7 linked regions of the Coturnix japonica genome follow. The protein of the gene in region 1 interacts with the protein of each later gene in a pairwise test. Links are inferred from orthologs where the notes say so. Each region holds a gene or a part of one and is shown on either strand. Other genes may lie near its edges. The genes, in order: SSX2IP, CCNH, CARD9, MRPL53, XIAP, TOP3B and FAM161A.

Region 1 (3,839 bases):
ACTTTTGGCATGTTTTTTACTTGAATTTACTAATGTTAATTGAAATATTGCTGAGGTAAAAAAAGAAAACAAGCACCAGGTCTTAAATCTACTTCCAGTTTCCTTGAGAGCTAATGAGAATTGAACTTGAACTGCTATCCTGTTGTAATTTTTAAAATAATGTATACATGATTTATATAAAGCTGGTTGAGGGTGTTCTTAAGGAGTGTATAAAATAGGCAAGGTAGAATGACATCCCCAACCTTTGGCTTTCCAAACACAATTTTATTTCTATCCTTTACTCTTGTTTTGTTAAGCAGGGCAATGTGGTCTCAGTTTGGTCTTAAGAGTGAGGGGGATATTTGGGTAACGCGGTCTTCTGTCAGTAAATACATAAAAAGGTAAAAGAAGTGTCATCTGAATATGTAATTGCACATTGTTTCATGCTTTGAAATCTCCTTTTCATTTGTAGCTATGGAAGTTCTAAATTATGTTGGTAGAGCTGATGGGAAGAGAGGTGCGTGGAGGACTGATAAGACAGAAGCCAGGTGAAACTGTAGTTGCTTTAGAACAACATTAATTAAACTCTTTGTTATGTTGTCACCTTGTTACTGTCACATTTCTGCTTTCAGAAATGAAGAACAAATGTACAAAGTTCTGCTAAGTGACTATGAGCAACGCCAAAAGCAGCTTTTATTGGAAAATGCTGAGCTGAAAAAAGTTCTTCAGCAAATGAAGAAAGAGATTATTTCACTTCTTCCACCACAGAAACAAAAACCTAAAGAAAGGTCTGAAGATGGGCCAGTAAGTATTCTTTGGTTAAGCTTAAGTCTGTGATAGTTTGCAGTGCTGGAGCAATCTGATTAAAATACTTCCTGGAAGGCTTGCAGTGGAAGGACCTGAAAAAATCTTTTCATTATTTTTGTAATAGTAAAAAAAAAAAAAAAAGTAAAACCTATATGTATATATAGGTTTATATATATATATATTATATATTATATTATATACACACACACATATATAAGTTTTACTTTTCTTTGGTCAAACAAATCTACGTATGTATTTAAATGTGTATTTTTTGAACGTTAAGATTGCTTGCACCAGGCTTTGTTTCTATTTCTATAGGTACTTTCAGACTTGGAGGAGGACATTGGAGAGTTAAATAAAGAGAATATGTGGGAACTGTCATGTGAAACTGTGCGAGAGCAGCTTACCAACAGCATTAGAAAACAATGGAGAATGTTGAAAAATCACGTTGAAAGGCTGGATAACCAAGGTGGTGTTTAACTCATATGCGTACATGTAAAATGCTCCTGACTGTTTGGTGTCATGCTCTTTGGATTTACATTACTGTATGTCTTAACTAAGTGGAAGCTAAAATGCAAGGGATTGTGACCTGATAGACTCCCTGAAAAGGCTTGTGATTGTCATTTTCTACATGAGTTTAAATTGTGGGAAGTTAGGAAAGCTATTGCCTAGCAAGTCTGTTATCCTGAGAACAGACACAATTGTAGTTTGACAGAGTAAACAGCTTTCTTCAGAAATAATTTATTTTTCTTTTGGAGACACGTGCACTGTAATATGCAGGTCACTCCAAAAGTAATGCCTTCTGTTTATTTTCATGAGAACTGTAGCAGATACAAAGAGCACAATAGTACTATTGAATAGACTAAATTCTGAACTGCATAATACTGTTCTGTTCTTTTCTCGACGTAGTCACCATTAATTAGCTATGTGCTTTTGCCAGTAGTTAACAGGAGCCTACATGTCATGCTTGCAAAAAACTACAGAAAATCTTCATTAGTGGAGGTGACATGCTGTTATCACTGCTGAAACAGACCACGCACCATCTTGCTTTGCTCACATCCACTGTGTTTGGCCTCCATAAACATTCAGCAAGCTGTTTTTTTCATTGACACACCTTTGCTTCATATGCATTTCCATGTCAGATGCCATTACTGCCCTTCTGCTGCCATCTGTCACATGGCAATGAAATGTAACAGAATGCTGGTGAGAAGGTTCGACCTCTGCCACCATTGTCTGCCTCTGATGTTGTGGGCCAACTTAAGCAGGAAGCATTATTTTCAGAGCAGCCCTTGTAAATGTTGGTTGTATTTCCCCGTTTCTCTGAGCTGTTCAAGTAATGCAGATACTCAGTTTCTTTCAACTTGGGATATGTGATACACAGATCCTTCTTAAAGTTTGAGCTCGTTACATCCATATCTCTAGTGCTTCTGCTGGCATTCTAAAATGAACTAGTTGATGGTATGGTGCTGGACTCTCCTCATTTCCAGCTGTTAAACAGCATTAAAAGACAGCTAAAAATATATAAAATTCTTTCCTAGTATTATTTTCCAATGTAAGCAAATGCTGCTGCTACAGCAAGGATGTTTGCAGTCAGGAATAAGAGTGAGAAGGTCATGAATGTAGTTGCAAATAAAAGAGCAGGTGGTCTCTGGTATAGACATATTCTTACAGAAAGGATTTTAAGATCACTTATTCTGAGTAATATTTGACTCAGTGTACTGACAAAAAATAATTGTAAGCATCAGGAAAAAAAGATTCGAGTATTTGCAGTCTTCTTGGAGTTACTTTTTATTTACTTTTTCTTTTTTTTCTTTTTGAGTTTATAGAGACAACCATGTTCTGATCTGTTAGCATTTGCTTAGTGTTTAAACACTGTCAGCAGGGGATCCAGACTTGGCATATTACAAATGCTGGGATGGTTGTATCTTTGTACAACCACACATTACATTATTTCATCTCACGCACATTTTATTCCTCTCTGATTCATTCCCTTTCTGAGTTAAAAATGTGCACACAGTGTTCCAACTGTTAGCTCTGTTTCTCCTTCATAGAACACGAGGGAAAAAATCTTTCCGTTTTTATCTATGGTATATATAGTTACTGCCATACTCTTATGAACACATAGACCCTTCAATAGTGGGCTCAGAATAGGCTAACCATGCATCAGTGAAAAGAAATCTTCACTTGTTATTTTCTTTTAAATAACTGCTGAAACAAGTTGTGGTGGTTATTTTTGGTGGTGGTGTTTTTGTTTGGTTGTTTGTTTGTTGTTTTTTTTTTTTGGGCAACACTGTTGCGGCACAGATTTGTGATTTACCTGAATAAATGTTGCAGCATTTGAGGCACGGACTCAGATGTGAACGATCCAAATCGTTTATTACAAGTTCTCACATCCCTTATATTACCTTCACAAGTTATTTTTCTAACTTTCCCGTCTGCCCTTACAACTTTCCCAACCACCTTTACATGTCAACAAAGCATTCTACAAAACACTTTTCAACTGTCCATGCAGGCACGTATCCAATCAGAGCTGTGAGACCCTTCTTCTCCTTGCAGAGGTGTCCTTGGTTCTCATGCTGTTTATCTTGCTCCACAGCTGCTGCTCTGAACAGCTTTTCTTGTATTCCCACAAAATGTGAAATCTGAGGTGACGTTGTAATGTTCAGCTCAGGATAAATGGCAGTAGCTCTTAATTACGAGTGTAGTACCAATTCTGGATTGCTTGTCGTGATAATAGGAATTTTGAGTGCATGATGAATGTGTCTTTTGGAATTAAACTATTACAGTTTAACAATCTTTGTTATTGCTTTGAGTTTTAAGTGTTGTGATGTATTGTTTTTAAGTAACCTTTTTCCCTTTTTTCTTCTCCCTTAGTGTCACGTGTGCATTCAGGAGCCTTGAATGATAAAGATGTAATTTCAAGGGAAGACCATGAGCTGGAAACTGAAAAACTAGAGTTAGAAATTCAGCAATGTAAAGAAATGATCAAAACTCAGCAGCAGCTTTTACAGGTAGCAGGCTTTTTGTTATTTTCAAGACCAAATCTGTGAATT
Region 2 (3,634 bases), on another chromosome or scaffold:
CTAGATTTACCTGTGTCAGGGGCAGCCGCCCCATAGAACCCCTGGCCCGAAAGGGAGGGGAAAAGGGGAATGGGAAAAGAAAACAGCAGCAGCAATCTAAGGAGGAAAACTTATTTTACTAAATACGATATCGGAGTACAAGATTACACAATATAATATAATATAATTGAGGCTAATAAATTGAACAAAACAGAGAGAGAGTCCCCAAAAACCGAGAGGCTTACTGTGAACTCTAGGTGACACAGCTGGAACGCTTCCCACTCTCTGAGAGAGAGAGAGCTCCAGCCTGGGAGTGAGATTATGTATGTCCTCCTCCCGTGACTTATCTCTGGCCATGAAATCCTCTGGGATACATAGTTCTCTTCTGAGAGCTGAGTATTTTGGACGTTGTTATTCTACGGAACTCGAGTATTAACCTTTTAATGATCCATACTGCACATGATGTTACGATGTGAAATACTGACAGCAACATTACAAAACCGTGACAAATTTGTTCATAAACTAATCTAAAATACTGTGGCCAGACCATTAGTCTGACTCAAAAAGTAACTGAAGCTTCTTGTTTTTTCCTGTTTGAGGCTTAGGAAGAAGAGGAAAATTAGTGAAGAAGATGAAAACTCCAAGAAGCCTAAACTGGATGAGGTCAGTTAATGTTCTGTACAAGTAATTACTTTTCTGCTCAGTAATAACTGACAAAACTGACACACTGTTGAGACAAACTCCTTCATCTCATTACAAAAGTTGCTCAGAATATTTTTCAAGTTAGTTTTAGCATCTAATGTAAATCTCCCTTCTTTATTTGTAAACCATTTCCACTTGTCCTATTGCTACCAGACCATTTAAAGTCTGTCTCCCTCATGATTATGAACTCATTTGAAGTACTGGAAAGCCATGATGAGATTTCTCCCGAGTCGTATTTTCTTAAGGCTTGGCATGCCTATCTCACTCAGCCTGTCTTCATGGGAGAGGTGCTCCAGCCTTTCCTGTGCTCAGGGCCCCAGGCCAGCACATGGCACTCCAGATGAGTAGGCCATTCCAGTGGCCTTCTGTGATGGGAGTGATGTCATGAATAGGTAAAGGGCAACTGATGTCTTCTACCTGCACTTCTGGAAAGTCTGATGTTGTCTCGTGGTGCATTCTTATTTCTAAATTGGAAAGATACAGATTTGGAAGGTGGACTGTTGGATGGATAAAGAATTTGTTGGGTACATTTGGATGTGAGGGACAGGATGTCTCAGGAGCAAAGGCAAGGAAACTATGCACTTAGAGTAGCACAGAGGGTGATGGGTTGTATTCACTGTACACATAGGCATCCATTTTAGATAATCCCTGTAAGCAGGAAGCAGAAACTCCCTAAGCAAGTGCACTCACTTTACTTTCTGACCCTTAAGAGATGGCAAGGGGCAGAAAGGAGAGAGAAGGAACGTGCTGATGGTAGATTCAATGGGTAGTGCCAGCAGGGTATCCCCTGCTTCAAGGTGCACTTCTCTCCTCCACTGCAGCTGCTCTCCTGCTTTTATTCTTCTCAGGGTTTTCTTTTTTCCACCTGCAGGCTGTGCCTGTGTGGCCAAGAGTGATACAGAGCACAGGTGGAATACAGAGCAGTTACAAGCAGGGCATGCAGGCTCTTGCTTTTTACACTTGCACAGCTAATAGTGGTGACTATGTTGAAAAATAGTGTTTTTTATCAGTATTTTCTCTGCCAAATAGCATTATTGTGCTCTTTGTATCTTTTGTATTTCCTTGGGAGTAAGTGGGAGGCATTGTTTTCATAGCGGCAGACGTACATTTGGTGTGGGACTTGAAGGAACTTGTATTTCTAGTTGGAGCTTGGTCTTACGTGTTAACTAAGAATGACAGTGCTTCTTGCTGGTTGTCAGGAGCAAGAAGGGCACTGTCAATCATTAATGTGTTTCTTTTCTACCCCTATATTTTGGAACAAATGCATTCCTCTCAAGTACATGAAGCACGTGTTTTGAAATCAGTTTAAGCTTACTGTGTAAGTCATTTACATGCAGTAGACACAGTGTGGAGATCAATGTGTTGGTTGTATTACTTGAACTCTCCTTAAGCAGCATATGTAAAAGATAATACTGCTACTATATGCAGTGCTGCCACATGCACAGTTCTGTATTGCTTGGTCACCTTACTGTAAAATGACAAGGTTGATTTCCTTCCCTTAGGAAGAATGGACTGATGAAGATGTTGTGGATTTGTGAAGCCTATTCCTGTGCTTACTGTTCTGTGGCACACTTGAACCTGCCTGTAGAAGATTCTGTAGGCTGAAGCATGAGGTATTTTTATATGGTTTTTAATTTCCTCAAAATAAAACATTTATTTGAAGGTTTAGTTGATTGTAGCTCAAGTTTTGGTTTAGCAGCGCCTTCAGATGCAACTTAAGAACAGGGTTACAGCACAGCAGTACATTATGTCCATTCTGGCGTTTAGCAAAGTGGTTAAATACAAGTGCAATGCAGATCTGCTAATAAATTCTGAAGTACTTGAGAGCAAGATCTGCTGCTGTGCTCTGCCCAGGCTTGTCACTGAAACTGCTACGAGAACATAACCTTGCTCATAACATCTCGTTGTGTTTGAGAAGCTCTTCCCAAGTGTACTAAGGGGCTGCAGGCAAATTACTTATCATACTAGAAGTTATGTTCATGGTTTTGTGACTTGTCTCCTGCTCTGTTTCCTCTTCCTGTAGCTTTGCTCTCAGACCAGCTTGCTGTGACAAACCCTGTTTGGGGCACCCTAGGAGAATAATTTAAAAGATCTTCCGGAGTAGTTAGTTACATTGTTTCTAAATTTAGGCGGAACTATTTCCTTTTAATATGTTGCTTCAGAACACGTGCAGCTCAGAATACATTGAGCTGAATGTAGCTCTGGGTTTTTCCTAGCTTTGTGTTCATCATAGTTTGTTTATTTTTTTTTTTTATTTTTTAAATTCATATAAACAGATGCAAATCTGTTCATCAGAGCTGTGTTGTGTTTTTTTTCTTTGTTAAGCTGCGTTATGCTGCTAATACCCAGCCAAGCACATTTAAAAGACTTCCCACTCAAGGCAGAATGATATTTCATTCTTTGGTAACAGTGCCAAAGCTGTTCTTCTTTCCTGACTGTGCAGCCTATCATAGCTTCACCTCAGAGGGCCTGACCATTAACACACTACCTAGCAACTAAAGGAAAAGTGATTTAACTGAAACACCTTTTATTGTGCCATCCTTACTATGTTCTGAGCTGGCTTGTACCCTGCTAGCAGAGCATTTAGAAAAAGGAAAAAGTTACAAACTGGTCCTGTGACTTCTGTGTTCTGATTAATCACCTTACTGCGTTACATAAGCAGGAAAGCCTAATAATGAAGGAAACTTATTTTAAGTAAGTTATTCCTTAACTTTTCCTCTGACATGCAATTTAAAATTTGGACTTGAGCAGACCAACAGACCAGCCAGGTATTTTATGGAAGGGGATCTAAAAAAAGAACTCTTTAATACCATATTCTTGCTAACAGATTGATATCATTATTAGTCTGTAGCAAGAGTGTGCTTTTATCTCTGCCTTTTACTTCTACCTATAGTGTATATCCACACAATCACTAAGGTTGGAAAAGATCTCTAAGATCATCTGGTCCCAGTTA
Region 3 (3,023 bases), on another chromosome or scaffold:
GTCCAAGCAGACCAGAAGATTCAAATTATTTTGCATTGCTTCTAATCTCTCTCTTATGAGAGAATGTGCAAAAATAAGTATTATCCTGAGAACATGCGTAGAAAAGAGGGTTTTGGTTTTTTCCAGCTTAGTTCATAACTGTGGTAGGGGTTGTCACATTGTCTGGAGACAAAATGAATGAGCCCATAGTCATGGAGGATAAGTCTGTGTGTAGATACACAGCTTCTAGTTCAGAATGTTTCCTGTTTTGCTTACAGCAAGATGCAGTGGGGGAAGGTCGGTTATATGCCTGTGTCCTGTGTTCCTGCATTTGTTCCTAGCTATTGTCTGAGAAAGAATATGGAGTACTTCTCATGATCTTAATTTGTTTGTGTCCCAATAGCTTACTCTTCATGCTCACCTAGATGAAGATACACACCTGACTGAAAGTAAGGTTTCTACTGGGGAAAACATACAGCATGGTTCTTGATGGGGTTTCCCAGTGTTCAGAGGGACAGGAACAGACACTTTTAGTGCAGAAGAGGAATCCACTGACTGAGGGTTTGGTCATTTGGGTGAAATAGGAGCAGGGTATGAGAGTTCGTGGAATTAAATGAGACATTTGAGCACTGCCTTCTGAATTGGGCCAGCCAAAATCACCTGGTACACAATGCCTTCAAAAAGCAGCTCCTGGATGCCTCTTCTTCACACAGTCCTCTCGTGTTTGTGGCTGAGCTGAGAATGGAACAAGCATCCTTCCACTCCAGCTCAACCACATGTCTTTCCCCAGAGACATTTCTTTCCTCTCTCTTATGTTGCAGGCTATTTTCACAAAAGCAGAACCATGTAATTAACACTGTCCCTGGTTCAGTTCTTGTGGCAGCCCCAGTGGAAATGATTCAGCAGCACAGAGAAGAGCAAACAGGGTCCTTTAAAGCTTGAGATTCTCCTTTGAAACATGTTCCAAAAGGAAGGAATCAAGCAGAGATCCTCACCTGAAAGAATTAAGCAATCATTCTCTGAGATGGGAGACTTTTCACAGCAGCTGCCACACTGAAACAAAGCCTTTTCTTACCCTACCTCAGCCAAATCAGAATGACATATCACAGTATCTGATCACTGCATTAGGAGTTGAGCTAAAATACGATCTGTTGAGTATCTGAATGTGCACATCTTCCCTGTGGCCCAACACCAACAAACTGTGATTCATGTTTAGTGGGATTTCTTCTTGTTATCTCCATCATTATTCTTTCAGTGACATTAGGCAGAGGTGCTGCTCTGCACTGGTTCATTTTGCTTCTCCACAAGCAGAAATTAGACAGATGGTGTCTGGTGATCCTATGGGGAATTCCATCCAGTCTAAACAAGACTCAGAGGTCACGCAGAATGAGCAGGGTCTTGTGCAATGGTCACAAGATTGAATACTGAATGTTTCAAGGCCTGGGTTTGGCTTGCTGTGGATGCTGTATACTGCTGGGCAGCTCTTACATGACAGCTATTGCCGTGTGATGAACTGGTGGAAGGAGAAGTTACTTCAACATGGCAGCTGTGACTGAGATTGTGATTTGCTTTTCTGTTTTCTCTCAGAAGAATGCTGCAAAGGCGAAAACCAGCAGTTCAGCAATGGAGAAAGCAATCTGCCTGCAGAGTTGCCCACTGTAAGAGCCCACAATGATTCTCTTTGGTCTGAATGGGGTTTGTAATTACTCATGTGCTTGTTAACAATGGATTTATCACAGAATGACCAGGGTTGGAAGGGACCTCAAGGATCACGTAGTTCCAACCCCCCTGCCTAGCAGGGCCACCAAACACACACATTTACTAGATTTAGCAGGCTTCAGGCCCAAGCAGATGCAATGCAGGCTCTACACACATCCCAGGGGCTGGGCTATGGTAGCAACCAGCTCTTCTTAATCATTTTAAGGCACAAGTTTCCATTTTCTCCTCTTAATTTCTTGGAAATAGATTCAGGGCTGCAAACAAACCCAAGATGGGCTCATCATGTAGAGCACCTCAGCCTTGAAGGGCTCCATCTTTACACAGCAGCCGTGTCTAGTGTGATAATAACATTGATCCAAGGCTTTAGAGCAACTTGCTTTGAGGTTTAGAGCAACTTTGCCTTGTTCCATTCCAGTTCGAGGAGTGCAGCTCTGCCCACGAGGAGCTGTCTGAGAAGGAGAGGAGGAGGATGAAGGATTGCTTTGAGCGTTACCGCAGGTCGGGCCCCATTTCCATCCCATTCCCATCCCATTTCCATCCTATTTCCACCCCGTTCCCGTCCCGTTCCCGTCCCTATCCCACACTCGGTTCCATAGGCCTCACTTCCATTCGGTCCCGTTACCAGGAAGCGCGCCCTCCGCAGAGCCCCCGCAGGCCGCCGCCATGAAGCCGACTGGGAGCCCAGCACCGGCAGCGACAACACGGACACGGAGGGCAGCTAGAGCTGGGCCGAACGTCCCGTTACCGGCCCCGTCAATAAACACTGAGCGCTCACAGCGGTGCCGTTACCGTCGGGATGGGGGAGGCGGCCTATGTGGGGCCGACCGCGCAGCCTCAGCGCCGCCTCTTGTGCGCCTGCGCGGCCGCCATGTTGAGGCGCTTGGTGCGGGTGGCAGCGCGGGCCGCGCTCGGCTCCTCAGCGCCTCCACAGCGGCGGCCATTGCCCCGCAGTGTGTGCACCGCACCGCCGGGCAGCGTGGGGCGGCTGCAGCCATCGCATTACCGCCTGGTGTACACCTGCAAGGTGCGGGGATGGGGAGGGGAGCGTCTCCGACGGTCGGTGTTGTGTTGCTAACCCGTGCCTTGCAGGTGTGCCGGCGCCGCTCGGCTCAGAACATCTCCCGCTTGGCCTACAGCCGAGGAGTCGTCATCGTTACGTGCCCAGGGTGTCACAACCATCATATAATCGCTGATAACCTGGGCTGGTTCTCCGACCTGCAGGGCAAGAGGTGCGTGTGTGTGTGGGGGGTGTGTCACATCATCGGCACATCGCCCTTTAAATACGAGGTTTTGCAGTAGCTGTCAAAGCATTCTTACTCCCAGGA
Region 4 (4,377 bases), on another chromosome or scaffold:
ACGATCAAAAAACAAAGATAAGCTCTATGAATAGGTTACCCTTTACAAAGGATGCCAGATGTTTAATGAACATTGGAAACATACTAAATACAAATTCTCATCGTGCTCAAATGCCATTATTACTGTGTTCCTTCCATCCTATCCCTAATCCTCACTAAGCTCTCCATAGTGCTGAGCTGAACAAAGTACCAGACCGTTGTAATCATTTATCAAGGAGGTTTCTGCCATCTAGCGGAAAAATACATTGCTTGCAGAAGCCACACCAAGATCGAAACCTTTGTTCAAGGGTTGGGCATGCAACTGCTGAACCCAGCCCATCTTATCAAATGCGTTCCCTTCCAGTATCGTCGCCTTTTGCAGCAAGCCTCTGTTCGGATTGATGCACTGAAAAATGCTGCCTCTAAATGATCCTTGGTCATACTGGCTACCCCTTATAACTAACCTCACTCAAAATCACACAGAATCACAGAATGACCTGGGTTGGAAGGGACCTCAAGGATCATGTAGTTCCAACCCCCCTGCCTGGCAGGGCCACCAAACATACACCTTTACTAGATCAGGTTGCCCAGGGCCCCGTCCAACCTGGTCTTGAACACCTCCAAGGACGGGGCATCCACAACCTCCCTGGGCAGCCTGTTCCAGGGCCTAACCACTCTCCTAGTGAAGAACTTCCCCCTAACATCCAACCTAAATCTTCCCTCTTTTAACTTAAAACCATTTCCCCGTGTCCTGCTAAAATCCTCATTCCTCTCAATTCCACTCAAATCCTCATTTCCCCTTATACTTACCTTCACTCATATCCTCATTTATTTCAGTCATCAGTGAGTTGTAGAATGGCTTGGGTTGGAAGGGCCCCCAAGGATCATGAAGCTCCAACCCCTCTGCCACAGGCAGGTCCACCAACCTCCACATTTAATACTAGACCAGGGCCCCATCCAACCTGGACTTGAACACCTCCAGGGATGGGGCATCCACAGCCTCTCTGGGCAGCCTGTGCCAGCACCTCACCACTCTCATAGTAAAGAACTTCCCCTGATATTCAACTTAGATCCTTCCTCCTTCAACTTAAAACCTTTTCCCCTTGTTTTACTGTTATCTACCCTTGTAAAGAGTTAACTTCCCTTCGGTTTTTAGGATCCCTTTAGGTACTGGAAGGGTGTACTGAGCTCTCCTCGCAGCCTTCTCTTCTCCAGGCTGAACAAGCCCAGCTCCCTCAGCCTGCCTTCATTATTCATACTGAATAAACTAGAGTACTTCTGAACCACATCCAAATCAGACAGGGACAGAATTAACATGAAAACAGCCATATGCAGACTTGCTCAGCAAGCCATCTCCTCACGTTAGGGATGAGGACAGCCAGCTGCTATCTGGAAAACGTAAAACCAAACGCTGTTTGGCAGCTGACAACATGGCTGTTACTGCAGACTCCATTTCCCAGGCGGCTCCGGGAACATGGCCGCCATCGCTGACCCGCCTCTGTGCGGGGCTGCCGGGACTCGTAGTACTGCGACGGGAAGAAGATGGCGTCCCGGATCCATGTGGTGCTGCGGCCCGTGAAGAGTATCGTAGTCCGCTTCTGCCCCTTCGATTCCAACGTGGAGAGCACCAGGTGAGGGGCAGCGGCGTGTCCCGGCCCTGGGGCTGCGCGGGACTCGGTGCTACCGCCGATATGAGGGGGGTGGATCCACACGACCTTTAAGGTCCCTTCCGACCCGACCCGAGGTACTCCAGGCCCTTTAATCACCTTCATGCTCTCCACTGGACTGTCCCAGGAGATCACTGTCTTGTCTATACTGGGGAGGATGTGTTTGTGTTGTGTAGCTCTGTAGATCCAGACAGTAATTGGATTGCTGCCTGGTAAGAAGTGAGTGTCTGAAATTATTGAATATAAATCCAATTCTGTTTATACCCAGCAATGTCAAACTATTCAAAAACTATACTATATACTAAAACTATACGTTTTGGATGCATCTCTCATGTATTAACTGTAATTTTTATCTGTGGAGCACTCAGTGTGTTTTAAAATACATTTTCAGGAAATTTCTTCAATGTATAAACCATAAAAGAATCCAAGCTACTAACAGGAACTGTGAAGTGTCTGCAGATGTGAGACATGATGGATCTGAACCACTTGTAGATGTTATGTTTGGTAAGAGTTCATTTTTAATCCTCACAAAAAGTCCTTCCACGTTTGTGGTTTCACAGTGTCTCCTCTATGATCATTTTTGCTGTGATTAATTTATTCTTTTTTTAATTCTCTTCTACACCTGGATGTTGCCAAGCTGGGAAGGAAAAAGGAAGTCACTAACACTAACATGTACATGTACAAGTCTTTACCAAACCTAACTCATATAGAGTTGAGTCCACTTTAGCAGTGGGACACTTGTATAACCTTGCAGTCAAAGTCAGTTCCAGGAAAACAAGTGTAGCTTTGCTTTGATGTTTTACACATCTGTATACACACATACTGAATTTTTGTTCTGTGTTGTCTTGTTTTCTGTGGTGGAGACATCTGTCTTAAGAATAGACAAGTTTAACACTTGGAGTTCTTTATGCAAGTGAGTAACTTGCTGCGTAGCTGGAAGGAACTGCTCATATAAGACCATACATGTGCAGACGGACATACAGAGTGAGGTCAACTGATGTACAGCAAATTACTTGGTTTCCTTTGGAGATCCAGCGAGTAGACAGGGAATTGATAGTGGAAATGTCATCAGTTCTGGAAGCAGCCCAGATTCAAGGCTATGAACAGATGGCTGTAATCTGATTTTGTCTTTTTCTCGGGCTGTATCTTCTTTCCTGCTGTGCTGTAATGGCCCAGTATGGCATGTAGCCTATTAAAGTTTTCATTATATTTTTTCCTGTTACCCACTTTTCTTTAAGCTTTCTGATATTTAGTGAATCAGTAGAAGTGTTGAGAGTGCTGAATGTACTTGTTTTGCCAAGCAAAGCCAAATTACTTCAGCGCTGACAGAGGTTTCTCCCTCCCTCAAGCCGCTTTTTTTCCAATCCTTGACTCTATCTGTGATGTATTAAGACTTACGCAGTAAAGCTTAGTGTTTTTCACAGTGTAAAGCAAAACAATTTATTTCACTAATGCCAAGAGCTACAGCTCTGAACTCCACTTTCTAAGAGCTGATTATTTTCCAACGGAAGAGTCTGCAGCCCTTCCAATTGGCAAATGTGACTGGAACATGGATGCCACGAATGGTACTGCATTAAATGGGTTTGACTATATCTTTTATATTTGCAAGTCTTGCAAAGATAAAAAAATAACTTAGGTACTATCCTTAATTTCTGATGCTCCCTCTCTGTTTTAAAGTGCCTTTTTTTTTTTTTCCTCCCCAGGAATTTACAAATCCAAGTGTTGTCTACTTTTTAATTTTATAACCACCAGATTGTATAAACCGTTTCACTGTTTTGGCTAAAGAAGTGAAGTAAATGGGCCATATACAACATGCTGCTAAAATGCTGGGCCATGTGTGGAAATTATGCCTACCAGTGCCTTTTGTGCCTTCTGTTCACTGACTTTGGTGGCATAGTGTGAGCCATTCTTATCAACAATATGCTTTTACCATACATATATCTTGAGAAACATTTCTTATTTTTTGATCAGACAGTACAGAAATGAAGATTACAATAGTTACAGTTTCATGTATTTGTTACAGTTTCATGTATTTGTTTGTTCCATAATAGGATTTCTTGTTAAGTGGACTCCTTTCTAATCAGACAAGATGAGCAGGGTATTTGGATTTGTAAATGCAAGCCAGAACTGCACACAAAAGTAACTGTGACTTAAATTTTAAGAACTTATAAATGTTTTCTTTCCAGCTGATGGAGAGCGATTGATAATGAAAGGAGCCAACCTGACAACAGTTGAAATGTTAACAGCACTGGGTTCCAGATGTAATGCAAAGGAGCTTAAGGCAGAACAGAAAAGCAAGAAGAATCCCTGAAGAACAGAACAACTGTGTTGCCATTTGTTAAAACAGGAGGCTGCAAAGAGAGGTTTTCTCCAATGCAACAAATTCTGAGAGAGATGGCCAAAAACTGACCAGTTTAATGCAGAGCAGAATCAACTGTTGAAGTTCTTCACCGTCTTCCCCAAAAGGAAAACACAGTAGATCAACAAATAGTGTGACAGCAGTGGACTGGAATGGCTTAAGATACACGAATGCAGCAGTGTCTGTTATCTGCATGTTGGACTAATGTCACATGTATTTGCATATAAATATGAATACTGCACATTGGTTATTAAATTAATAAATGCTAAAGTGAAGATAGGTCTCTCTAGATGTTATTTCCAACACATTTAATGTAGCTGAGAAACAGCAGCCTCCAAACACAGAGACTGTATTTGCAAGGACATTGGCTGTA
Region 5 (4,553 bases), on another chromosome or scaffold:
AAGTTTGCTTAATTTAAAGGAAAGAATAAATACAGCAAGCAGGAATATTTCTCTACATTGAGTTCAACTTGACAAAGATATTGCCTGTGATTTTCTGCTCGAAGTTTAATTACCTCCTTTGGCTCAATTACCAGAACTCTGCCTATAGTGAAAGGTGCTTCAAAGTAATACAATTCATTTTACTGTTGAGTCACCAAAGATGTCGTTAGTTTTGGCTTGCAGTACAACTTACTGATTCAGAATTTTATGTTAAACTGAACTTTAAATTGGTTGAACAGAAGAACAAGAACTGGCTTGTGTAGAAGGTAAAACATTTTATAAGCATTACTCTTCTTATTGTCATCATTTTTCTTGTTTGTGATGTTTTCTTATGTTTTGGTTGCTCTGTGTGTTGGGTCTAGAAGTTTTGGGTTTTGTTTGATCAGGATGTTTGATTTAGACATCAAAACCCAGAAGAGGGTCACTGTAAAAACACCTTGTGGTATTAAAAAAAATGATTTGCCTCGTTTGGAAAAGCATCAAAACCTCAACAAAGCGATGGCATTTGTTAAAATCATTGCTAATGAATGCATTAGTAATGTGGGATGGTGAGGATTTATAAGATTAAATATTCACATTCATCCTGCTCTGTTAAGGTGCTAACCTCTCACCGTGTCATAATACGTCTGAGATCTTTAAGTAAATAACTGTGCTTTGCTATGGTGTGAACTGAGTGTGGACTGATAGGAATCTTTACTAGCGAAACACAGCTATTTCTCGGGATATTGAAATCAGTACAATTATCATCTTGGGTTTAAATTCTTAAATAATATTTCTGTCATGTGATCCAGAACGATAGTCTGCATTTTCAGTACAGCCAGTTTTCTCATTTAGAAACGACTTTGTTTTGACTCTGTACAGATACACTGGAGGTTTCAGATCAGGTGAAATGCCAACCTGCAGAGATGTCAGCCCACACATTGCTGACTCGGGACTGGAAAAACTCGTTGTTCTCATGAGAGGAGGGAGGAATAAAGGCAAGAAGACAAGTTCTGCGCCAAGTTAGCAAGCGGCGTTGCTGGCAGCTCTCATCTTCAGGGGGTACCTCAGAGAGCAGCACATGGCGGATGTGTGCTGCCAGGGAGGTTGTGGATGCCCCGTCCTTGGAGGTGTTCAAGGCCAGGTTGGACGGGGCCCTGGGCAACCTGATCTAGTAAATGTGTATGTTTGGTGGCCCTGCCAGGCAGGGGGTTGGAACTACATGATCCTTGAGGTCCCTTCCAACCCGGGTCATTCTGTGATTCTGTGGCGGATGACTTCTCACGGTGGCCTTTGTGCAGACCATGGATTCTGTGGGGAACAACCACTCCCTCACACCATCTTTCAGCGGCCCTTGAGCACCACGCCTGGCCGGTACCCAGCGGGAAGTGCTGGCGAGCGGGTTGGGGGCTCTTCGGCCGCTCCACTCCACGAGGAGCGGGCAGGAAGACCAGCAGCCGCTGAGGGGTGATGCGCTGCCCGCCCGCCGCCACTGGGTGCCGCCGTCTGACAGCGGGCCCCGCACTGCCGCGCTCCCCCGGCCCTGTGTGGGGCGCTGCTGCCGAGCGGTGCGGAGCCGAGAGGCTGCCGGGAGCCGCCATTTTCTCAGCCGGAGCGATTCCCGCAGCCGGGGCCGGTGAGGAGGATACGCGGCGCGGTGAGTTGTCAGGCGGGCGCGGCGCACTCGGGTCGGCGGGCGGACTCCCCGCGCGGGGTAGGGCCGCTCCTTTCCAGCCCTGGTTCTGCTCGGGGCCCACCCGCCCCATGTGCTCGAGGGTCGCCGAGCCGGGAGGCGTTGCCACAGGAACGGGCGCGCCCCCTCCGCTGCAGAGGTGTCCGCTCGTGGTTTCACAGCCTGGGCTTTGTGGTATCCACTGAAGTGTCTGCTGCCTGGAGTTGTGATCTCGTGTGTAGGACAGTGTTCGGATGGAGCAGAGTCGTTCAGCTCTTCCTCCTGTGCTGCTGCCCGCACTGGAGCTGTGCTGTGTGTTACGTTAGGGATGAGGTGTGGTGGTGTTTGCTTCACTTACACCAAAAGAAAAAAAACATTTTGCTGATGGATGCTTCCAAATCCTTTCTTAACTAATAGCTTGATGCAGTTAAATATACACTGAATTATTCACCTCGTCTCTTGAAATAACTGCGTAAGATGAACTTTAAGAAAGCAAGTTTTCATCTGGGGATGAAAAGTTTTGTTGAATAAGTCTATATTTTGATATATTTTTTTTGTTTCCTTAAGTGCTTCCTTTTGCTGTCCTGTAGTTTTATTTAGGACCCATAAGAGGACACACGAGTGATTCAGTCCTTTTGGAAGTTGGGCACCCACGCTGTTGGCCAAGAAGGGCAAAGAAATGAGTTAATGACAGCTCTGTGCTTCCTCTGACCTTGCTCCTTGTAACCAGCAGCAAAAGTGAAAGAACTCTGATGTGGGTGTGGTGGGGTTTTTTTCTGCTTCAAGTGATACGAGGCAGACTTGCTTCTGTTATCAGAACAGTTAGAAAATGCGTGTTCCTATCAAAGCCTTTGGAATGTGAAGGTGGATTTTGTTGCAGGCTTCTGTGTGCCCACGATAGTGATGGTGCACCTGTTGCTGTACTGCCAGGCTGGGCGAGGCAGCCAAAGGGAGTTGAAGTGTTGCAGAATATCCAGTTCATAAGTCAATGAAGAGCTCCCTGTGAAGGAAAGGATGTATTTATTTATTTGTTTGTTTATTGCCTAAAGATTGGTGCCAGAACACATGAAACTTGTATCTGCTTTAGTTAATCTGCTGCTAACCTTGGTTGGTGGCAGGATACCAAGGGGAAAGCCATTGTAGATACCCTTTCATTCTTATTTTCCATCAGGAGTTAATGGATGTAGTCTCTTGCAGCTTATTTTTCATAGCAAGAGGTCCATCATGAGATGTTCTATTCAAAAGGCTCTGAACACAACTATAGGAAGCCAGGCTCTAGAAATAGATTTCTGAACCTAAGGGGAAGAAAATTTTAGTTGTGCAGATAGGCTGAAGGTATGTGAAAGTGGAAGAAGGCGTGTTGCACAGCCTGATTTGGGTTGTCCTTCAGGACTAGAAATGCTATTGTTTTAATTGGTGCTGCTTCTTAACAGCTCAGACTGTATCACAGAATGTTTTACTTTTTGCCTTTTCTATGCTTGGTTAGTTATCGGGTGGATACCAGCAATAAGATATTTGACCCCCTTATACGTTGCTGTGTCTTTGAGTAGACGAAGAAGGGACAGCAATTGATTTCATAAGGAGAGATTTTGCACATCTAGTTTTAGGAACGTTTCCTATTTTAGAAATGGAAACTGTAATACTGTGTGCACAACTGAAAATTGTTACCAGAGAACCTGGGTGCTTCCCATGTTAATTTTGGACTTGATGACTATCCAAAATCTTCTTTACTAGAGTGCAGGTTCTATTTTAAAGCTTGCTTAGTGGAATCTAATCAATGTTGGAATTGAGAAGCCATCCTCAGTGAGCAATGTCACTTATGTAATATAGAACGTAAAATGAAGCTGGTCTTGAAGTTTGCTGTCCTTCCCCTTCTGTGTTCTGAACGTTTTCTTATTAAACAGTAAGGCAGCATTTGGTGCTGAGTGCTGTCTGCAGGTGCAATTTTCACGTTTCACTTTTGTGTTAGAATTAGTCCTCGAGTCATCCCAACTTGATAAAAAACTTCAAGTATAGAGGATAATTCAAGAGATTCCAAGCACACAGCTGTGTGTATGCACACCAATTTGGGTGTGTATGATTTCAGCCCATCGATGAATGACAAAGCATTCATGCTAGTGATACTGGGCTGAGGTGCCATTTAGCCCAGATGGATTTGCTGTGTGAGCAGCCCAGCTGGGCAGAGGTCATGGGCTCCCTGTGCTGCCCTGCTGCTGCAGTTTCTTCCTTTATAATCGCAAGGATCTGGCAGTTTTGCTGTGGCATTAATCACTTTACTGCAACTGGAGTCCAGTCTCATTATGTCCCCTTGAAGAGAGCTTGTCTCTTTCTGTCTTTTCACTCATCTATAGGCATAAATGTTTTCTAGCTGAACAGTAAAAGCATGTGATGCTGCAAGCTGGAGCACAGCTCATACTTGAGAAGGGAGGAGTATCCATGGTCACTGCAGGTTTTGCCAGGTGTTTTTTATCACTGCCCATTTTGTTCACATATTCCCATTGACTGCCTTTTTTTTTTCTTCCTAACCAAGAAGAGCAGTAACTCCGTTGTATTCCTGCAGTGATACACTTTATAGTCACTGATTGATACTTTTGATGGATACTTTGTTCCCCTGTTTTAACTCTGTGGAGGGTTGGATCTGTATAGCTTGCTTCTCAGTTTATTGAAGTTGCTTTGTTGTAGCTTAGGTACATATATCTGTTTCTATCTGAGCTGTTAGGATAGGTGCTTTGTAAAGGACTGCAGCTTGTCTAAGTGCATTTGGAGGCAACAACGATCATCTGGTTTAAACCTACCTGCTGTGTGCAGGGCTGCCAACCTCCAGACCAGGCTGCTCAGAGCCACATCCAGCCTGGCCTTGAAT
Region 6 (3,839 bases), on another chromosome or scaffold:
TATTTTCAGGGGAAATACGGAAACTTAGACAGCTCCCTCATCTCCTTTGGGCCATGTCAAACACCAACACTTGGTTTCTGTGTTGAAAGGCACGACAAAATCCAGTCATTCAAGCCTGAGACTTACTGGGTGCTGCAGGCTAAAGTAAGTTATGTGTTATTTGTTTGATTAAAACATGTTTTCCTTCTTATATAGTAAGAAACGGACTTAACACTTTCATTTTGTCCATTCATGAATTTGTAGCTGCTGACAAGAATTCACAGTGCCTACAGTTTACTCGTCTATTTTCATTCAGTTCACATGTGTGTCACCACTCTCTTAATAGATTTGAGGATGTCGGTTCTGTGTTCAAGCGGTTATTGTGTGCTGCTTGTAAAAATTCTTTAGTGGTAACCATCTAAGCTTAGACTGAGCCAGAAAGACTACTTAAAATGGCCTGTTATTGTTCCCTGGGGTCCTTGGACCAACTGTGGTGTTAATTTGAATCCAAGAATTAATTTGTCTGCCAGTGAGCATTGGCATTGCTGAGTATTGGAATTCTGAAGCAAATAAAATGTTCACTGTGTTGGCACTGAGTCTTCTGAATGCTTTGGCAGTTTATGGCAGTTTTATAGCCTTGCTGCTGTTCCAACTTGGAGCGCTAACCAACATGGTTTTACTGTTTGTGATGACAAGGATTGTGTAAATAAATAGGAGATAGATGGTAAAAAGTTGCTATTTTTAGATTTTAAAATTTAAAAAGAAAAAAAAGTTGAAATCCAGTGTCTACTCTTATCTGTTTTCTGCTATATCTCCTTTATATGTGTCATGCTAGGAAGCATTTGGTTCCTGTTTTCAGGGTGTTTCATGCACACACATTGATTAGTTCATATTTACTTTTGTAGGAGGGACTTGGATTGTGGCCCACGTACATTTTATTTTTAATGCAAAGAATTAATGAATTTTGCTAAGTGAAAATGTTAAACTTTGAATTTCGGCCCATTTTGCCTTTGTTATTCCAAGTATTTAAAATAAGCACAGTATTTCAGTTAACTGCAAGAATAATTTCAGTCATTCTCCTTGCCCCAGAACTCAAATTACTCTTTCTCAGAAGCCACTGGAAAATGAGTACAGCTGCATGCTTGGAGCACTTGTAAAACAACTACTACTAAGGTTTACTTGCTGGATTATTGCTGAAGTGCATTCTGCACTTTTAGTAATAGTGCTGGTGGGAATTAATTTGTTGTTGTTTGTTTTTGATCCATCAGGTGAACCCTGAAAAGGAAAGTTCTCTCACTTTGAGTTGGGACAGAGTGCGGGTATTTGATCGTGAGATCGCTCAGATGTTCCTAAATATAACAAAGGCTGCAAAAGAAGCAAAGGTAGAACTATTTACTTAGGTGTTGGTAGAGCTTATTTCACATAAAGGAAATACTACTCAATAGTTCATCTACTGTATATTGGTTTTTTTGAGCCTTCTTTTGGCGAAGAAGGTTAAGAAATATAATCCTTATCTTTTTTTATTTCATTCAACTTTGTGTAAATGATAAGTAAAAGGCAAAAGATTCTTGCTTGTAGTTTGTGTTACATTAGTATGGTCATCTCAACAGAAGCCCATTCTTAATATTGACTTTGGAAATGGTCATCATTCACGATAGGAATTAACAGTCTTCATTGCTGAACTTGCTGAGAAGCACAGTTCAGAACTCCCCAAGCAGACCTCTTGTTTCCCACAGGACACTGCATAGATCGAAATCTATTTACTTATAGAACAACATTCCTGCAGTTAAGTTTTTAACTTTGTACGGTACAGTCCTTATAGCCAACTAACCTGCTGTTCTGTTCAATGCTTGTCTGACACTGTGTTGGGATTTAAGTGTTTACAGCTACCAACGTTCAGAGGCTACACGGTGTTTTAAAAAGTTGAGATCCTTATATCTAGGACCGTTACTTGGGTTGAGCACTACTCCCTTGTAGCACTGATGTATGTGCTGCAGAGCTAAATGGGAAGTGAAGGTAGCAGTAAGCTACATCCCTTCATGTCCAGTGGTAGGTCTGATCTAGTCCATAATGTGAAGGGACCCTGGGGCTATTCCTTCAGCATTTGGTAAAGCTGTTTCCCATCAGATTTCCACCAGATCTGACGGTTACTTTTCTACGGAAAAATATCAAAACACAGATGTGACGAAAGCAGGTCCTGGTAGGAATACCACATGGTTTTAGTCATAATAGACATTTTACATTTATCAGTTACCAAACTTCAAAACTTTTACTGGAAAAATGCTATTTTCTAGGTAGAATCTGTGAGTAAAAAAGAGAAGGTGAAGCAGAGACCACTGGCTCTGAACACGGTAGAAATGCTACGAGTGGCCAGTGCTGCTTTAGGTACGTGTAAAAGTTTAGATTTTCACACTGATTTAGAGCAAAATACTTTGGATTCTCAGCTGAAATAATCAAGCCCATATGTAATATTTTAATAAGTCTCCCTACAGTGTATCACTTTTGGGAAGCAAGTTTAGAAAGCATGTCAAAAGTACTGGGTCAGATCAAGGTGGCAAAAGTCTTATAGAAAGGACAAGTTGTAATTTGTAATTAGCTTAAATGTTTTGACAAGGTGTGCTTTAAGACTCAGCAACCAAAGGCATCTACAGATTGCTGTATGATTTTGTTCTCTCCTGTGCCATCCCAGGAATGGGTCCGCAACACGCCATGCAAATAGCAGAGCGTCTTTATACACAGGGTTATATTAGCTACCCTCGAACAGAAACTACCCATTATCCAGAAAACTTTGACTTGAAAGGATGCTTGAGACAACAAGCTAATAATCCTTACTGGGCAGAAACGGTGAGTAAATCAAAACCTGTACTGTTCTACAGGTGGTTCTCTAGTCTGTGTTTTTAGAACATCTTACCTGGTATGTCTTGATCTGTAGGTCTCTGCAAACAACAAGTATCTGTAATTGCTTTTACTTACAGATATTGTAGTTATGGATTTGATCTTAAAAAAAAAAACAACTTCTAACCTGATAGTAGAGACCTGCTATCCACTTCAACCCGTTTTCTCTCTTTTCCTTGACCCAGGTAAAAGCATTGCTATCAGAAGGCATCAATCGTCCAAGGAAAGGCCACGATGCAGGTGACCATCCACCCATCACTCCAATGAAAGCTGCAACAGAAGCAGAATTAGGTACAGACAAACTGAATAGTGTTAGAACACTGTGAGGAAATTGGTTCTCTGATAAAGAAGCATGTTAAGACTTTGAGTAGCCATACAGCTTACTGAATGGCTATGTAAAACTTCTTTGTACACAATAGGATGAAATATGCAAAGCACAAGACTGATACTTAGGAGCTAAGTTTCTGTTTATAGTATTATAACCTCTCTGCTATTTGATTTCCTAGCTATATGTTGTGATTAAGGAAACTGTGTGTAGCTCTTGTCTGTTCTGTGCTAGTTTGTCAGGCAGCCCGATTGATAGCATATTTAAAAAGAAAAAGTTGAAGTTAATGTAGCACAGGATTCTAACAAGTATGATTTTATGGGTAGGAAATTTTGAAGGGGAAGCTGGATGGACTTTTCAATCCTATTTTCTCTTAGGTACCAGTTTTCCCTGTGGTTTCTGTGGAAATCTGATATCTTTTAGCGCAAATTTTATGTAGTGCTGCAGGACTTGATTTGTGGGAGTAAGATATTGTTTATCCTCAGGTGGAGATGGATGGCGGCTGTATGAGTACATCACTAGGCATTTCATTGCCACTGTGAGCGCTGATTGCAAGTACCTACAAACCAACATTTCTGTCAGCATTGGCCCTGAACGTTTTAACTGCGTTGGGAAAGTGGTAACTTCACCAGGTAAAACT
Region 7 (4,523 bases), on another chromosome or scaffold:
CAGAGATAGAGCTGGCCCTGCGCCTCAATGAGTACGCCCGCACTTTGAAGGGCATGGACTCGTACTGCGTGCGTGCCTACGGGGATGCACTGGAAGTCATACCATCTACACTGGCTGAAAACGCAGGTCTCAATCCTATCTCAACAGTAACAGAGCTGAGGAACAGGCATGCTCAAGGAGAGAAAACAGCCGGCATTAATGTCAGAAAGGTAATGAAGAAGTTGTACATAGAACTCTGTAGCTTAAATAAATAGGCTGTTAAAAGGAAGATGTACTACCTGAAATCTGAAATACAGAGAACAAAATTCTTGCTAAAGTTAGGAACTTACCCTGAGTACTGCTAATGGCAGGTTCTCATTCTACATCCATGGCGTTCTGGTACCTTCACATTTCTCTTCAAAAACAGTTTTCCAGCTGGAGTCACAGTGAACTTAAAGCAGGCAGGTGTGGTTAGAAGGGTTGGGGGTAGTACATGCAGTACTGCTGGGACAGCGTCTTGTTTGAACTGCTAACAGCTATGGCTGGTTTTTCTCTTGGCTCACTTTGAGTGGATACATCAGATACTCAGCAGCAGCCCTTTACAGTAATATTCCTGTTGAGAACTGAAGCGTGCAAGCTAATTGATAGTCTAACTCAGCACAGCATCACTTCTGGGATCCTATTAGAAGGTGTTAAACGTGGTTGTAGGCTCACGTGCACAAAGTGATGGTGCCTTCCTCTTGCAGGGTGGCATTTCCAACATCCTGGAGGAGCTGGTGGTGCAGCCGCTGCTCGTGTCTGTGAGCGCCCTGACTCTGGCAACAGAAACTGTGCGCAGCATTCTTAAGATTGACGATGTGGTGAGTAGCGTTTGTATCACGTTCTTGTTGATAAATGCCAGAATAGGTGGAAACACAGATGATACTATCAGCTGTTTCTACCATTTGGTCATCTAAAAACAGGGCACGGGAGAATTAAACTGCTATTGGCATAAGCAGGGTACCTTAAAGCAAGATGTTGCAGTGACTGTAACAATACATAAGCAAAGAAGTCATTGTTACTGTATTGTGTGGACCTCTCACATGTGCTGTTGTGCTTTTGCAGGTGAACACTCGATAAGCTGGATAAAGGAAGCTGGGACTGTGCTCTGCAGCTCCTCAGATGGTCTGAGCTGCAGCTTCCTCACCAGAAGCGCCTGTGTGAATTGTCTTAAAAGTCCACGAATGCTTATATGTACTTTTCTCATGTTAATTTAATACATTTCCTGGTTTCGGAAAGGAAATGCTGTTTATCAATAAACAGGCACCAGTCTACTTGAGTCTTTGCTTGATGATTTCACTAGAAAGGAGGTCGACTTCACTAGTTTGAATTAAATTAGCATTTACATTAGCGTTCCACATCATTGCAGCTCACATAGCATAGTTAGCTGATCCAGGCTTTGCTTCCCATTACAAGGTGTTCCCCATTTGGGCTGTGGCCCGGCCATCCCATGGTGCTAACAGGGCTCAGTGCTCAATGATTCCACCTCCAAGAGGTAGAAGACCATTCCTGACCTTAGTTTACCCGTACTCACTAATAATCCCCCATTTGTCTGGAGCTCAAACCTCTTAGAACGGGAGGTGACCAATGAGCGGAACCAGCCGCGCCCCCTCACACAGCCCCAGACGCCCCGTGCCCTGCAGCCGGCTGCGGTACCGGGCCCTGCGGTACCGGGCCCTGCGGTACCGGGCCCTGCGGTACCGGGCCCTGCGGCCCCGCCTCTCCCGTCCCGACACGTCCCCGCCCCTGCACGCAGCCATGGAGGCTCCGCACAGCGCGGAGCCGCCCGCCGCCTGCCCCCGTGCTCCCCTGGAGCCGCACAGCCGGGCGCCCGCTGCCCACAACCCACGGGATCCGCAGCACAGCGCGCAGGTAACGGAGGGAGCGGCGGGGCCGGGCCGGGCTCGGTGGGACGCGGAGCAGATGGGCCGCAGAGCTGTAAGGAGCTTAGGAGGAGCAGCGGAGGGCTTCGCTTTACAGCGGCTATGGAAACGGGCGGGGGAGGTGCCGGTTAAGGCTGTCTTAGAGCTGTGTTCTAAGCAAGAAAAGGACTTTTCCCTTCCAAAAGATCCTTCTGGATCTATTTCCCGATACAAGGATAAGGGCTCACAGGGACAGACTTCGTTATTTAACTTCCCATAAACGGCAGTCTCAAGCCATAAGGCACTGCAGGAAGACTGTTCCATGCAGCGTGTGTTAAAGTCTGTGCATAGGTAAGAGGTATGAAATTCGGCGGTAGCATTTCATTCATGAGACAATAAAATGAAGCAGCGCTATAAACCTCATTCCTCTTCCCTCTGAACCACAAAGCCTGACACAGAAATGCCTCCTCTATCCCTAGGGGGAGCTGGGCACAGAGCCGGGCCCTGGCAGCGAGCAGCCCATCGCCCCGGGCACAGGCTGTGACACACAGACAGAGCTCTCCAAGCTGGGCACCTCGAACCAGGAATATTACCTGAAGCTGGAGGAGCTGAAGAATGCCCACATGGAGACCATGGCTAAATTAGAAAGCATGTATCGGAACAAGCTGTATCTACAAGGAGTGAAGCTTTTGGAGAGGAACAACACTAACAGTGCAACTTCCTATGTCTGCTGTAGGTAAGTTCTGTGGTACCTTTGGAGGACCTTTGCAGGCTGCAGTACATGGGGCAGGTATGTGCTGCGGCTGGGAACTGCTGCTCTCCCCCTTTCCTGTAAAGGGATAATTACAGCGAGGTCAGCTTCAGTTCTTACAATGCTTATTCACTTTGCTAGCAGGCTGTCACACTCACAAGTATGCCCACAGCAGAATCTGTGCAATGCATTTAATAAAGCACAGTGCCTTGTTACCCTTTTCCCTTCCCTCTCTCACCCTCTGTGCAGTTATACAGTCAATAAGTAAACAGAGATTAAACAGATGTTTCGTATCATGATAGAAAGATAATCTATGATGATGGGAAACGCTCACCAGTGTTGAAGGTTTGCAGTAAACTCCACACAGGAACAATCTCCAGACAAAGAGATCCTGCCTTAGTGGTGGTCAGCCCTTAAATGGGATCTGGGAGAGGTGCAGCCAGGCTCAACTCCTTCTGGTAGCACAGATGAATTACCTTCACCTGTGCTCCCCCAGCTGACTCATTGCTTGCCTCAGGTGGTCAATCAGAGGTTCAGGCTGTGATCAGCAGTTTGCTATATACCCTGCAAGTGCTTTTCATCTTTCTCCCTCTAGTGAGGGCACTGAAAACAGTTTACTGCCTTCAAATCAATGCTGGAATGGATTCAAACCAACTTCTCTTTTTCCCCTCTGTTTAAAGGCCAACCTGGGAGAAGAGCACGTATCAGCCTCTAAGTCTGCCCAGATCCTTCTCTGACTCCAGCATTAGCGATCCCTTTGGCTCAGGTGTGTCTGGTGAGTCCAACAGAGAACTGCCATCTGAAGACAGCTGCAGTGAAACCGGATCATTGTTATTTGCTAAGGAGAGGATTGCAAGGATGTGGGACGGCTTCTCGGTGGATGACTACCTTCCCCCCAGGAAGCACAGCCTGCCCAGAGCCCCGGCTGCCAGGACAAGACAGAAGCAGAAGGCATGGTCACCAAAAGTCACGGTGCCCAAGCCTTTCCAGATGACAATTAGAGAAGCCAGAAGAAAAGAACAGAATGTCAAATCCAAGTCACAGATTGAGATAGAAAATAACCTACTGAAGAAGCAGCTGGAGGAAGAAGCAGAGTGTCAGAAAAAGTTCCGAGCCACTCCAGTGCCCGCTGCCGTCTTCCTGCCCCTCTACCGTGAGATCGTGCAAAGGAATGAGGAGCGCAGGAAGACTGTGAAGGAGAGGAGCAAACTCAAGCTCTTGGCTTCTCAGAAGCCGTTTAAGTTCATTGAAAGAGAGAAGCAAAGGGATGAAATCAGAAAAATGCAATTGAGAGACCTCTCTACACCTGAAAGGCAAACAAAACCATTCAAAGCAAAGCCAGTTCCCAGGTGCGTTTATAGCCCGTCTGTTAGAGACAAGCTGCAGGAGGAAGAGCTCTACAGAGAAATCCGGATTAGAATGAGAGCTGAGGAGCTGCTGCGAAATGCATCTGTGCCCACCAGCAGGCTGGCTTCCAAGGATGCCAACAAGAAGAAACACAAGTGTGCTGAACCAAAGGAAACGGAGCGCCAACCCAAGGTCCAACACAGCGTTCCAGATTTTGACCGGCTACACCAGAAGTTTCAGAAACGGCTCCGGCAGCAGCAGCAGGTGAAACACCTCACGGTGTGCGAGCCGTTCCATCTCCGCACTCCGTACATTCCCTCAAACAAGGGGAAGGTCTTGAGAGACATTCAAGAGGATGAAGAAAGGCTGAAAGAAACACGCTGGCCGTACGCCTCTCCAAGGCGCAGACCCCAAACCAGACAGTCGAGCGCCAACTCACCTCTCTCAGGATCTGGAGAATCCAGGTCGCCAAGAGTCACATGGTCCTCACAACGAAGGCTGCAGGCCCTAAGGTGACTAACTGCTGCAGTGATGCTCTGTGCCTT

What was found.
Region 2: the proteins of SSX2IP (region 1) and CCNH interact in binary tests that used the Homo sapiens proteins (3 or more experiments, as listed by UniProt). The link is inferred for Coturnix japonica from reciprocal best matches to the Homo sapiens genes SSX2IP and CCNH.
Region 3: the proteins of SSX2IP (region 1) and CARD9 interact in binary tests that used the Homo sapiens proteins (3 or more experiments, as listed by UniProt). The two-hybrid records come from large-scale screens. The link is inferred for Coturnix japonica from reciprocal best matches to the Homo sapiens genes SSX2IP and CARD9.
Region 4: the proteins of SSX2IP (region 1) and MRPL53 interact in binary tests that used the Homo sapiens proteins (3 or more experiments, as listed by UniProt). The two-hybrid records come from large-scale screens. The link is inferred for Coturnix japonica from reciprocal best matches to the Homo sapiens genes SSX2IP and MRPL53.
Region 5: the proteins of SSX2IP (region 1) and XIAP interact in binary tests that used the Homo sapiens proteins (3 or more experiments, as listed by UniProt). The two-hybrid records come from large-scale screens. The link is inferred for Coturnix japonica from reciprocal best matches to the Homo sapiens genes SSX2IP and XIAP.
Region 6: the proteins of SSX2IP (region 1) and TOP3B interact in binary tests that used the Homo sapiens proteins (3 or more experiments, as listed by UniProt). The two-hybrid records come from large-scale screens. The link is inferred for Coturnix japonica from reciprocal best matches to the Homo sapiens genes SSX2IP and TOP3B.
Region 7: the proteins of SSX2IP (region 1) and FAM161A interact in binary tests that used the Homo sapiens proteins (3 or more experiments, as listed by UniProt). The two-hybrid records come from large-scale screens. The link is inferred for Coturnix japonica from reciprocal best matches to the Homo sapiens genes SSX2IP and FAM161A.

What each region holds. Positions count from the first base shown.
Region 1 is NC_029523.1:14,419,468-14,423,306, forward strand, and holds part of SSX2IP (afadin- and alpha-actinin-binding protein), read left to right. Parts: intron 1-451; coding exon 452-527; intron 528-611; coding exon 612-783; intron 784-1,104; coding exon 1,105-1,255; intron 1,256-3,660; coding exon 3,661-3,797; intron 3,798-3,839. UniProt on the Homo sapiens protein: Belongs to an adhesion system, which plays a role in the organization of homotypic, interneuronal and heterotypic cell-cell adherens junctions (AJs).
Region 2 is NC_029547.1:54,313,752-54,317,385, forward strand, and holds the end of CCNH (cyclin-H), read left to right. Parts: intron 1-578; coding exon 579-642; intron 643-2,183; coding exon 2,184-2,219; 3' UTR 2,220-2,975; downstream 2,976-3,634. UniProt on the Homo sapiens protein: Regulates CDK7, the catalytic subunit of the CDK-activating kinase (CAK) enzymatic complex. CAK activates the cyclin-associated kinases CDK1, CDK2, CDK4 and CDK6 by threonine phosphorylation.
Region 3 is NC_029532.1:6,407,627-6,410,649, forward strand, and holds the end of CARD9 (caspase recruitment domain-containing protein 9), read left to right. Parts: intron 1-116; exon of another isoform or gene 117-382; coding exon 383-428; exon of another isoform or gene 429-1,566; coding exon 1,567-1,637; exon of another isoform or gene 1,638-2,113; coding exon 2,114-2,196; intron 2,197-2,301; exon of another isoform or gene 2,302-2,323; coding exon 2,324-2,420; 3' UTR 2,421-2,472; downstream 2,473-3,023. Other genes in the region: DNLZ (DNL-type zinc finger protein), read left to right, coding at 2,495-2,722, 2,788-2,927. UniProt on the Homo sapiens protein: Adapter protein that plays a key role in innate immune response against fungi by forming signaling complexes downstream of C-type lectin receptors.
Region 4 is NC_029517.1:109,901,307-109,905,683, forward strand, and holds the start of MRPL53 (39S ribosomal protein L53, mitochondrial), read left to right. Parts: upstream 1-1,476; 5' UTR 1,477-1,520; coding exon 1,521-1,609; intron 1,610-2,036; coding exon 2,037-2,149; intron 2,150-3,831; coding exon 3,832-3,956; 3' UTR 3,957-4,377.
Region 5 is NC_029519.1:14,642,353-14,646,905, reverse strand, and holds the start of XIAP (E3 ubiquitin-protein ligase XIAP), read left to right. Parts: upstream 1-1,567; 5' UTR 1,568-1,675; intron 1,676-4,553.
Region 6 is NC_029530.1:348,692-352,530, forward strand, and holds part of TOP3B (DNA topoisomerase 3-beta-1), read left to right. Parts: coding exon 1-144; intron 145-1,247; coding exon 1,248-1,361; intron 1,362-2,273; coding exon 2,274-2,364; intron 2,365-2,668; coding exon 2,669-2,823; intron 2,824-3,059; coding exon 3,060-3,165; intron 3,166-3,684; coding exon 3,685-3,831; intron 3,832-3,839. UniProt on the Homo sapiens protein: Releases the supercoiling and torsional tension of DNA introduced during the DNA replication and transcription by transiently cleaving and rejoining one strand of the DNA duplex.
Region 7 is NC_029518.1:13,367,015-13,371,537, forward strand, and holds the start of FAM161A (protein FAM161A), read left to right. Parts: upstream 1-1,482; 5' UTR 1,483-1,605; coding exon 1,606-1,890; intron 1,891-2,359; coding exon 2,360-2,616; intron 2,617-3,311; coding exon 3,312-4,490; intron 4,491-4,523. Other genes in the region: CCT4 (T-complex protein 1 subunit delta), read left to right, coding at 1-209, 726-839, 1,084-1,098. UniProt on the Homo sapiens protein: Involved in ciliogenesis.